Neurospora crassa OR74A: one gene and its partners. The protein of the gene in region 3 purifies or fractionates together with the protein of the main gene of each other region. This does not show direct contact. Links are inferred from orthologs where the notes say so. Each region holds a gene or a part of one and is shown on either strand. Other genes may lie near its edges.

The links. The genes of interacting proteins can lie anywhere in the genome.
Region 1: the proteins of NCU09004 (region 3) and NCU07942 purify together in Saccharomyces cerevisiae (affinity purification with mass spectrometry; 3 studies listed by BioGRID). This does not show direct contact. The link is inferred for Neurospora crassa OR74A from reciprocal best matches to the Saccharomyces cerevisiae genes TIF6 and RRP1.
Region 2: the proteins of NCU09004 (region 3) and NCU09528 purify together in Saccharomyces cerevisiae (affinity purification with mass spectrometry, with the first as the bait; 3 studies listed by BioGRID). This does not show direct contact. The link is inferred for Neurospora crassa OR74A from reciprocal best matches to the Saccharomyces cerevisiae genes TIF6 and NOP16.

What each region holds. Positions count from the first base shown.
Region 1 is NC_026504.1:1,277,369-1,281,014, forward strand, and holds NCU07942 (hypothetical protein), read right to left. Parts: upstream 2,021-3,646; 5' UTR 1,811-2,020; coding exon 1,765-1,810; intron 1,558-1,764; coding exon 650-1,557; 3' UTR 550-649; downstream 1-549. Other genes in the region: NCU07943 (DUF218 domain-containing protein), read left to right, coding at 1-249. UniProt on the Saccharomyces cerevisiae protein: Required for 27S rRNA processing to 25S and 5.8S.
Region 2 is NC_026505.1:4,474,476-4,478,029, forward strand, and holds NCU09528 (nucleolar protein 16), read right to left. Parts: upstream 2,245-3,554; 5' UTR 2,076-2,244; coding exon 1,960-2,075; intron 1,879-1,959; coding exon 1,296-1,878; 3' UTR 550-1,295; downstream 1-549. Other genes in the region: NCU09527 (hypothetical protein), read left to right, coding at 1-201. UniProt on the Saccharomyces cerevisiae protein: Involved in the biogenesis of the 60S ribosomal subunit.
Region 3 is NC_026503.1:4,190,581-4,194,667, forward strand, and holds NCU09004 (eukaryotic translation initiation factor 6), read right to left. Parts: upstream 2,620-4,087; 5' UTR 2,220-2,619; coding exon 2,185-2,219; intron 1,978-2,184; coding exon 1,819-1,977; intron 1,695-1,818; coding exon 1,148-1,694; 3' UTR 661-1,147; downstream 1-660. Other genes in the region: NCU09005 (hypothetical protein), read right to left, coding at 3,586-4,087. UniProt on the Saccharomyces cerevisiae protein: Binds to the 60S ribosomal subunit and prevents its association with the 40S ribosomal subunit to form the 80S initiation complex in the cytoplasm. Is also involved in ribosome biogenesis.

The DNA of each region.
Region 1 (3,646 bases), on a different chromosome or scaffold from region 3:
CCTCGCGTAAAGCGCAGCGGTGGCGGCACTAGCGGGCAGCTGGCATACGAATCACCGCCGGTCAACGAAGCATTGATGTGGAAGATGGACCGTTTCTTGCAGCTGGTCATGGGCGAGATTCCGCGATTGAGAGATGACGAATACGGCTATGGTCCCAAGGGCAATGGCTCCATCGTCCATGTGGATATTCCCGATGAGGTTGAGCAGGCTTATACGCGGCTTGCCGGCAAGATTGCGCATCGTAGATGAGTTTCCGGAAGTGATTCGCCGGGTGTCCGGGACGAGCTCTGTGGAGCCACACATTAGGCTTATTTTGTGAAGATAGACGAAAGAATTAGATACGAGTATAGAGAGTACCTAAAACGCATCTCGTTGACACCAATCAGATACCTTGCATGAAATTTGGTGGAATGGTGTTTCAGTAACAATTAAACCAAGGTTGATGTATATCAGTTACTTTTCAAACTACTACTTATAAACTAGGAGTCTCCTGGGTAACATTGTGATATATTGAAAGTCATGAGGAGGTTCACGATTCAAGACATTGGTCAACAATGCAATGTATTTCAAGGGAACGAAATCAAACAAAGCAACTCTATTACGCCAGCAGCCATGATATCTCAGCAAAAACCATTTTTACAAAACGAAATCAGTTATCAAACCCGCCCCATCCCTCATCTTCCTTCTCCACAGGCTTCTTGTCATTCCCCGGTAGCCTGTCATCCGACAATGAGTCCTTGGACCTCACTCTTATCGCGGGGCTGACCGTGCGCTGCTCCAGCTCCTCGATCTTCTCGATGATCCGCTGCACAATCTTGAGCGCCTCCTCGTCGCTCTCAAAGTCCAGCATGCCAACCTTCTCGGCCTCGTCCACCCAGATATCCAGCACGTGGATCTTGAGTCCCGAGGGTATCTTCTTGGCGAGGAGGTGAAGCGGGTCCTTGTTTTCCTTCTTCTTGGGTTTCTCTTTCCTGAGAGATTCGTGTTGGGGCTTGGCATCTTCGTCGTCCTCGTCGGCTTCGGGTTCTTCTTCTTCTTCGGAATCGCTATCCTCCTTGACGTCCTCGTCCAGCGCAAACGGCCACTCGGCAAGTATGTCGAGAACCTGATCGACTCTTTTGGCGTCCCACGCGCTCTTCTCCTTTCCGCTTCCCTTCTTCCCACCCTTTTTGTTGGATTTGGTAGCAGTAGCAGCACTGACATCCGCTTTCCCATCCTGCGCGCCCTTCATCCACCTAAAGGAAGCACCCACCACCCGTCTGACCAGCAACAAGAACTTTTCCATGCGCAGCACGTCGATCGACGTCCACTCGCGCGACATGGTCGCCCAGAAACCCCTGAGCCAGGGGACGACGGACTCCCGAGGGAGGATGTAGATGAGATCGGCGAGCTCCTGGGCAAGGGTCTGCTGGGGGATGGCGCGGTCGCACATCCACATGGCGTAGAAGAGACCCTTCCACAGCTTGAGAATGTCGATGGGCGAGAGCGTGGTGGCAATGTGCTTGGCAGAGAGGAAGGTGTGCAGGGAAGCGAGGGCTGACTTGCGGATTTTGCTGTCTATCGAAAAGGGAGAAAATGTCAGTGATGGAGGGCTTATCGAATGGGGAATTGGGTATACATTTTGAGTTTAGATAGAACGTGATTGGATGTAGAAGTGGTAGTATTGTCAAGAGATACAAGGTAGGCAAGTATCCCAAGTGGTGATGTAGCTTGTACTTCGATCACATGGCAGTGTATGTACTGGAAAGTGGGATGCAAACGTACCGCTCGAGGCGAGGTTCTTAATGAACGGCATATTTTGCGACGCCATCTTGACTGGTTTTTTTTTGGTGGTGTTTCCACTCAACTCGATTGTTTCGACTGTTTCGTTGTGTTGTAGTAGGGCCAAAACGCAAATTGGGTATACGCTGTGTAAAAAGACGAAGTACTGGGATCGGTTTCCTAGAGGCGACGAGATGCTGCTGCAGGCTGGGCTGGAGATGATGGTGGATGGAGTTCAAGCCGATTGAAACGAAATCTTGTCCGCCCGGCAGAAAAAACTGGTGGACCAAGCTTCCGAGAGTTGACAATTGGAGATAAGCAGCTGATAAGACTTTGCGGCAGGCATTTGGCTTGTCCAGCTATCGCCAAGATGCGGGGAGGTATGCGCTCGCTATGTGATTGGTGCATGCTAGTGACTGTGGATTCGGCTATGATCGGCAGGAACCCGACAGCAGTCGAATTCCATCCCGGCCGCACCCGTTCCCCAGCAACCTCTGCGGTGGTCACAGGTGACAGCTGAGTCGATGCCAGCAGCGTGAGGGCATGGCATTCAGTCACCAGCGACATCGTCGGCAGGGCGGAAGGTGCATCACGAAATTTCGATGGTCCCCGTCAATGTAGAATCCGGCTCCATCCATTCTCCTCCGTCCCGCTTCCCCGCCTTGCCCGCCCGTCCGCATTCCGCTATCGATTCGGGATCTCCTTCTTCCCGCTTGCTGTTTCCCCTGATCCCCATACTCTCCCCTAACTTGGTATCCATGCCACTCTGTCCGGACTTCTTCTGGAATCCTGCTTCTTTTGTCCACCAGGCATCGGGCCTAACGACATCCTCACCGCATCAACTGTCATGTGGCCTAGAGACTGTGATTTCATTGAAGGATTTACTTTGAAAAACTGGCGGTCTTGCTAGTCACTTTGATACGCTCAAACTTTCATTTTTTTTCTCAGCCCTGCAAATGGTCATGTGGACTTTGTGTTATCTTTTTCTAGTGTAGTGTCTAGTGTAGTGTAGATAACGTATACCAGCGGGCCGTCAAGCCTATCAGGTTCACATGAAGTCCGACAGCCATCCAGACCCAAAAGCACAGTAGTGTATCTTCTATGGGGAGGTTAGCACCAAAGGGGAAGCTCAGGTCGCGCCTGGCCAGACAGCAAGTGAAAATCCTCGGACTTTCTTTGCTTCAGTTAGGGGAAGCAGAAGGGGAACTGAGGACCAACCAGTGTCGTACTCCGACCACAGAGGGAGGAAGAAGCTGTCAGGGCTGTGAACCGTTGACCAATGCAACAAAAACAGGATCCAGTGACAGTCAGGGGTAGATCTACACGCCCTAACCCCGCGGCGACCATTGGGCCTTTACCCCGGATTGCGGTCTGTCTGGGGCGGGGAAGAGAGGAAAGCTTGAACAGAGACATGTGACAAAAAGGAAGGAAGCGCGGGGACATCTACAACATGTACCATCTTATTGGAGCGCTTACGCAGGTGAAAATGCGCCTTGAACATGCCACCTCATCTGAGTCGTATCTAAACGATAAAATAAACCCTCCCAAGCATGTAATCGCTGGATGTGTTCGACCTATCTAACGATTTGGCGTCCCTTGTAGTTTTGACTATCGGTGTTGATACGGACACACTAAATGGTTATCTTGACGATACCTACCTTGAGGTATAGTACTTTATCTGATACGAGATTGTCGTCTTGTGATTGGAATCGGAACTTTTAGGGGAAACGTCCAAAACCCGGGCTTTGGACGATATCAGCTTGGTTAGTGGAGCGGTTATCACTTCGGATCCTAATACAGGAATTTCCTACAGCTTCCGACAACCCTGGTTTGCTTCCAGGATCGATTTCTTTTCGGACATTCTGACCGTCGTGAATTGCTTCAT
Region 2 (3,554 bases), on a different chromosome or scaffold from region 3:
GCTAGCTCGGTGGCGCCGTCCGAGAACCCGTTCAGACAGGATAACCCGTTTGACAACGATAACGATTATCAATCCTCCGTCGGCGGCGGCAGCAGGTACGCGCCGCCTAGTGTGCATGATGGGGACTACGAGGATGAGCCATCGGCAAGGTTTCCCACTGCGCCCTACGGCCGAGTAGGAATCGAACGGGGGAATGTGTAAGAATGGGATTAAAAAAAACAGAAGGGTCGAGAATTCAAGTCAAGGGATATGGATGAGCTGGACTGATCGACTTTGGATCTGGAAGCGGATGCAATACCGGGTAGCTATACGCTGCAGCATGCTTAGGTCATGTACAAAGTGTCTTGGCTACCTGCTTTCTTTTTTTTTGTTATTGGGGGCTGGCTGGCACTAGACGAAACATTTTGGGCTTTTTCTTGTGTATGTATGTGTGTAGGCTTTGTTTTATGGGGTGTCGTTGGCGAGGCGTCACAGGTCCTTGTTGGTTTATCATGCATAGAAACGAGAGAGATATCTTCGTGCATCAACAATGAATCACAAAGCTCTCATATCGGCTTCATGGAATGCTTTGTATCTGTGTCATTCTTATTAAACTCTCCCATATTTGTGGAGATCTACGTAGAACATGATTCTAGGTGACAAACAAGATATGATACGATATATGTGGATGGCTCAATGGCCCTAATTCTTTTCATGTACTTTGAGAAACGCCTAAAACGCCCGTGGCCTTAATGAATAGTATGTATGCTGCACAAGAAATCCTGGTTCCCGTCCCATCATCCGTTTTGCTTTTGCTCATTACCGTTGAGCAAGGGAGCGCGAGCCGAAGTAGCTCCGTCACCTGTTTCTTTGCCAGTTCCCCATTCCACGAGAGGGTCGCCCCCTGAAGCGAAGTATGATGAGGCGACAGCGGGGAGAGTCTAACTGGCATTATACCAGTCTGAGAGAGAAAGAGAGACAAAGAGAGAAAGACAAAATCCGTTGCTCTCTTCTTTCGAGACCTGTCGAGCAGAGCCATCTCGGCTGAAGGATCAGCCGTGTTGGGTCGCTCTTTCTCCCTCCCGCCGACTCTCGTAGCCCAGCTTACAGGACGAGACTGGACATGGGTCCGGGCATTTGTCGCCAGGCTCCCTCATCTCTACCCTTATCTTCAGACCACAAACCGAGCTCACCGGTGATCCCAAGAACATCCCCTTGCAAGAAGCAGTCACATTCCAGTGATGATGAAGTTCACATCACACTCGCGCATGCAATTTGCCCCCTTCTTCCCCTCCCTCGTTTCTTCGTCCGCTTCTTTACTGCAACAAGCCAGCCTTCCTCAACCGCTTGGTAATGTCGCCCTTGGTCTGCTGCATCGGGTTTAACTTGATGTCGCGCACCATGGCAGCTACATCGTCGCCGTGCTTAGCCACTAGTCGCTGCAGCCATTCTAGCTCGCGCTCGCTCTGGTAGCGCACCGTCTTCTCCACAGGGCGCGACGCCTCCTCCTCGAGCATCCGGACCACCTCGGGCCGGCTGCTCTGGGCAATCATCTCCTGGCGGTCGTCGCTGATGCCGTGCCATTCGATATCATGGGTTGGGTTCTTGGGCTTGGGTTCCTCGGATTCGGAGTCGGACTCGATCTCGTTGAGCGGGTCGTTGAGCGGGTTGTCCGAGCGCAGGACCTTGACGATCTTGCCCGAGGCGTCACGCTCGACCTTGACCTCGCGGACCTCGAACAGGCCGCGATCGGCCGACTTGACGGCCAAAGGATCATCCTTGGTGATGCCGGCGTAGTTGGCGGCGGCGGACTTCTTGGCCATGCCGCCGGCGGCGGTGCCGAGCTTGGCGACGAGACCGAAGCGGGAGTAGTTTTGTGAGAGGGTCTCCTTCTTGTTCCTGTAGTACATCAATTTTTGCATGTCAGTACTGAATCTCCTCTCGAATATCTGGCAACAAAAAGAAGAGAAAGGTACTTACCAGGCCTTGGCAACGATGCCGCTGCCCTGGGGGTTCAAGACCTTCTTCTTGATGGTATGCGTCTGGACCTTGGCGCGAGACGAGCGCTTCTTGCGCTTCTGAAGTTCTCTGCCCATTGTTGCTGTGGTTTTCGGGAAGTAGGTACTATGTGGTGTTGCTGAAAGGACAGGAGTTCGACTGCCAAAAGATGCTGGGAAGAAGAAGGCGAAATGGGAGTAAACCAGCAAAGAACGATGACGGCGACAACAACAACGAAGGCGGAAGTTGACCAAAATTTCGGGGGAAACCACCCCAGAGAACTCGATTGAACTGGAACTGCAATGGCTCCTGTCCGATAAGAGAATTATAGTGGGGCTGTTGTCCCTTATCGACCTTACAGGTTGTTCGTTACTTGGCAAGCTTGGGTACGTTCCCTCAGTCCAGTCGCCAGCTGGCAAGAGGGCCGTAATAAAGATACAGTCCCTACTGCGTAAGTGTGTACCTAGGTAGTGTAAGTGGTGTATTGTATGTAAGCACGTACATAAATACCGCTTCCTCAGGTTCCGTTTCTAATCCTCTTGTATCTTGCTTGCCTTTATTGCCGTCACCAGTTCGTTCATCAACAATCCTTCTCCCAAGGGTGATGATGGCAACTTACCTAACGACTATTTCCTCGGAATTGGACCCTAACTTTCACGGCCATCATAGCCGCGGCTTCTTGTTCTGCTCGCAACTGGTGAGGCGCCAGCGGCCGCGCCAGTCACCACCTCACCATTGTCACCATGATCATTACCCATTGGAGATATGAACAGACTTGTAATCATTGCTAAATAACTAGCTACGCACTTTGCAAGTTTTCCGGTAGGGCAACTTGATTCCCGTCTCATCCCATCCCCAAAACACCCTCCATGGCCCCCGCCACTATCCATTCGACGCAGGCACGCGGGTCATGCCTGAAATTTCATTTCTTTTTTATTCAAATCCAACCCGCCTTCAAATGTCAGCCTTGTACTTCCAAAGACATTCGGTAGTATGCGACCTAACTGTTGACATGTTCATTTCAAGTGCCTCGGTCATCATCACCCTGCTACATGCCGGCCAATGCCCATCAGAGCCCGGAAGAACACTGCGCAGAATGGGAAGCCGTTCGACATACATAGGTGTACTGTAGTGGCCAGCCAATTGTCTTTCATGGTGTTCTAGACGTTTGCCTATACAAGTACCTAGACAGCGACCGAGGTCTTGCTTTTTCTTCCCCAACTCCTCTCTCTTCAAACGCCCAGCCCATAGTTCGCAGCAGAACTCAACATCTTACCCACCTCCCCCTCCTTCTTCAACCCCATCCAACCTCAATGCAACATGGAGATATTCAGAACTTGATGAGGGGGGCCATGCTTGGGATAGTCACCTTCCTGTTAAGTCTAGGCGTAGACTTCGTTAGCCATGAGGTTTAGTCGAAATGAGGGGGTAGTTGGATACATGTCGAGCGGGATGTGGGGAGTGGTAGCGGCGAGGAGGTATACCTCTCAGTACTTATGTACGTACTACTTGGACACACGATTTATGGCAACGAGTTGACAAGGAAACATCTTTGATTAGCATCACCCCCTGCTTCA
Region 3 (4,087 bases):
ACCAATATTCCCGAACGATATTTCCACTCATGACTAAGTCTAGTAGTTTAGTCCACGCATCTTTTGCCACAAGCTGCATGTCTCTCAACGGTCAGGGCATCGCGGAATAAAGCTGCGTGGTTTAAATTATTTCCACCCATCACATACCAAGCCGTTTCCAGAAGAAGAAGCAGGATTCTCGAGTGAGACATTATACGTAGCCGCCGTGGATTACCATGTCGTTGTGTGTGGACTTGGACTCGTGGTAGGTATTATACGCATTCTATAGCCCCCCATTCTATGCATATGGACATGTCAGGTCAACAAAGTGTTGACGAATGCTGGGTCCCACGAGTCCCTGGAACGGACAACCACATCATCGTGCATGATGAAACACTGCATCACCGCTGCTTGCTGGCAACCGCCGCGATCGCAACCAACCCTGGCACTCGAGGCAGCATCGGGTGTGGTACATGCCGTACTGTGTTTTTGCATGATGGTTTTTTTGTAAACATTGATGATGGGGAATTGTCTCAAGAGGCATCTCGCTTGGCGTCTGGATTTGCATTCGTAAAAGGAGGTGATGATCCCGTCATAGAGCATAGGGGACGAGCTTGGAGTTTCAGTTGGTCTTCTTCACTGGATGACAGGTGAACCAAGAACTACCAGTACAACCCTAACCCTTGGCAGAAAACCGTGCCTTGCCCCAAATCCCAAAGACATTGGTCCCGCGTTCTGGACTTATATGTCACATGTTAACTGAACCTCGAAGAGTATCTATACTTCGTGATTATTCTGAACGGCCATGGCCATGTCAACTGGAAGCTTTTTTTCATTCCAGATGGCATTTCCAAAACTCGAAGCAATCTCGCAATCCAGGCCGAGCCACAACCACGGTCATCTTCACACATATCCATATCCTCACGCAAAAACGCCAGTCATAGGAACCATTCATTGGAAGAAAAATCGCCTTGTTTGCTCACGCTTGAGCATGCATGTCAGAAACGACCCATTGTCGTTGGTATACCTGACAAGAATCCCGCCTCCTACACATCCATCTCTCGCCTCCGCTCCCTCCTGCCTCACACATTGCCTTCCTTTCTCCTTGCCTACCAAGCACAGATAACACCAACTCCAAAACAAGCCCACAAAAGAAAAACCATTGGATTTAGTAGAAAGACTCGACCATGGTATCCTTGAGGCTGGAGTTGATCTGGCCAGGCGCGGCACCCTCTCCTAACCTGAACACGCTCTCGATAACACTCAGCTCGGGCGCCGTAGTATCAAGACCAGTGACGGCCATCCAGTCGTTGACCACCATGCCACCGCCGATGACGTTGGAACCTCTGTTGACGGAGCCGGCCACCAGCGGTACCTGGAGCAGGGAGCTGAGCTCGTCCTGGTCCTGGATGGATGTCTTGGGGTGAACGAGGCCGCCCTGGTTGCTGAGCGCCATGTAGCTACCGACGAGCACGTTGTCGGCAATGGTCTGGCGGAACACCTCGACGCCGAGCACGTCGGCAATGATCTCTTCGGTCTCGCGCTCCAGATCCGGGTGGATCAGCGCCGTGTGGTCGTTGCACACAATCACGTTGCCCAGGGCCGACAGGCGCTCCTCGATACGTTGTATGCGCACGTCGTCGGGGAGACTGTTGCGCAGATGTTGCAGTTCCTGGTCGCTTGTGGTAGTGGGGACGAGGAGACCTTTGCGGTTACTGTAATTTTTTTTTTTACTCGTGGTTAGCTTACCAATGTCCCATAATCAGGTTCTCGGTTGCGCCCCCTCCGATACTTGGGACTAAAAGTTCAATCAAAAATGCAGAGGGAAGAAGCGCCTACCCAGCTGTCAAGCGACCGATGATTCTTGTGCCGGCAATGGTGGTTCTGCAGATAGGGATAACATCTTGGAGTTCGGCCTCGAAGACGCTGTAAAAGTTTTCGCTGGCACCGACGGCGACCAAAGCGTAAGAGTTTGTAAGTGTGGAAAAGACTCCAACCCTATTGAGAAAGCAGACAATGTTAGCGCGTCTGCTACTTGATATCCCGAAGAACTACCCTCCGCCCCCCATTCAGATTCAAGAGTCGCCTTGCTGTCGCGGTGTCGAAGCATGGTATTGATGTCGTCGTCGGTGGCAGGCGGGGCAGATCTTCGATTTTCGCATCGCGATTCCCCATCTCGGAACGTGGAGGCCAAGCAAAACTTACTCGTTGGAGTTCTCGAACTGGGCGCGGACAGCCATGGCTTCGGTTCTTCTTGTGTAGTGCTCCTAGTGGGCTTCCTTTACTTGGTGGGTGAAGTGGTATTCCGATAGAGACGGAGAGATTGAGTTTATGCGACTGAAGCAATGGAGATTGGAGGTATAGAATGCCGTTTTGCTGCTTCGCGAATGACGACTGGTGGGGTGGGCGATGGAAGGAAAATATAATCTGGATTCAGACTCCAGGCTATGTGTAAAGTGGGGCGCTATCAAATCTGGAATCTGGACTGAGGAAGAACCACACAGCTTTTGGAAGCGGGTACCAAGACCCTTACAGATGTATGTACCAGTACTTGCCTTCAACAACAAGACATGGACGCATACATGCGGCTTACCAACCCAACCTCTCTACTCAAACCCTTCCATTTTTGCCATCGAGAAGTATGAGTTTGTCGAAATTCTAGTGCACTTGCATCGATACAATTTCATTTTCAATCACCGGTGACTCAGACACTTTGGAGCAATCCTCGTAAGGCTACGCGAGCAGTGCCTAGCCACCCTCGGGATGGCAAAAGGCTTGCCACACAGCCCACTATGTTACAGCGACATGGAAGCTATCCTCTACGTCTACCCGACCCCATTACCGCCTCCTAAAGCTTGTTTGCCCAATCAGATTTGCAGTGGCTTTCCCATTTGGTAGTGTACACTACCGCCATTTTCATTATGATTCATCATTGTTGCGATATGCAAGGTACCCAAAGAGGCTCACTTGCGGGGCGTAGTAGAATAGACTGGGGCTTGTTTCAACAGTTCAACTTCTGCAAAATGTAATGAAGTTGCTGTTGCAGTGTACTGTGTAGAAGATCACAGGATCCTGGTGGTATAGACATAGATGCCAGAAGCCGACATACCGGACAATTCATTTTGGCTTATCTTTTTTTGTTGAACTCGTCCGCTCGGCTCATGATGAACCCTAACCCACGGATTCACAACCTCTCCTCGTCAGCCCATGTAGCGACAGGACAACAATGAGAACAACCAAAGTGTGGCTAAGGGAGCCCGGTTGTCATTTTGGGTTATGAGCTTAGCAGAGGGAACGTATGGCTGGGGGAACATCTGGTTCAGTTGACGAGAAAGCGCACTTTGCCATAATGCCGTGAGGTACCTCCATATAACCCGCTGATACCAATTCCCATGACCGTTGAAAGCCATCATCCAAGTATCATCGCCTTTAAACAAGATGCATTTATACCAAAACTCCAAACTCCCCTGCCCCCGGCTGACCGTCAAGCACTAGTCTCGTGAGACCAGTAGTCTATTTAAGACGACGCGAACATTTATTTTGCCAACCCCGTTTTGCCGGATGATGCATGCCTTGCAAGAACTGATCACCTTCTTTGACTCAGTCTCATTGCAGTGTTTGGGCTGGAAATAGCTGCGGACCAGCAAAGCCTTTCGCTATAACCCCCTGGATATCAATATTTTTAAGAGGGTCAGGATGTGGACTCCACATCTTGAGCAGGATGTACCGCGCGCTCACCGGCGGGTCGAACTTGATGGTACACTTGTTCTTGTCCTTCTCAATGTAGAATTGGGCCAGCGGAGACATAAGCGCTCCGCCAACGGCTCGTACCGCCTCCTGCGTGGCCACCTGCGAGGCTTCTCGCGCTCGTTCAAGTTCGGGGGTTCCCGTGTCGTATTCGTTACGCCAACTAGCAGAGTGTCGCGCACGAGTGAGATCAGTCCAGTCCAAACCGCTGGGGTTCCATGGGTCTCTTCCGTCATCACTACTGTCGCTTTCAAAAGGCAAAGCACCAATCCTGTTGGGGGTTCGCCTACGCCGCAAATGATTTTCGTCTCCTTCGCTTTCGTCATCACTGCATTCGGTCGTGACATTGAAAGGCTGGGAT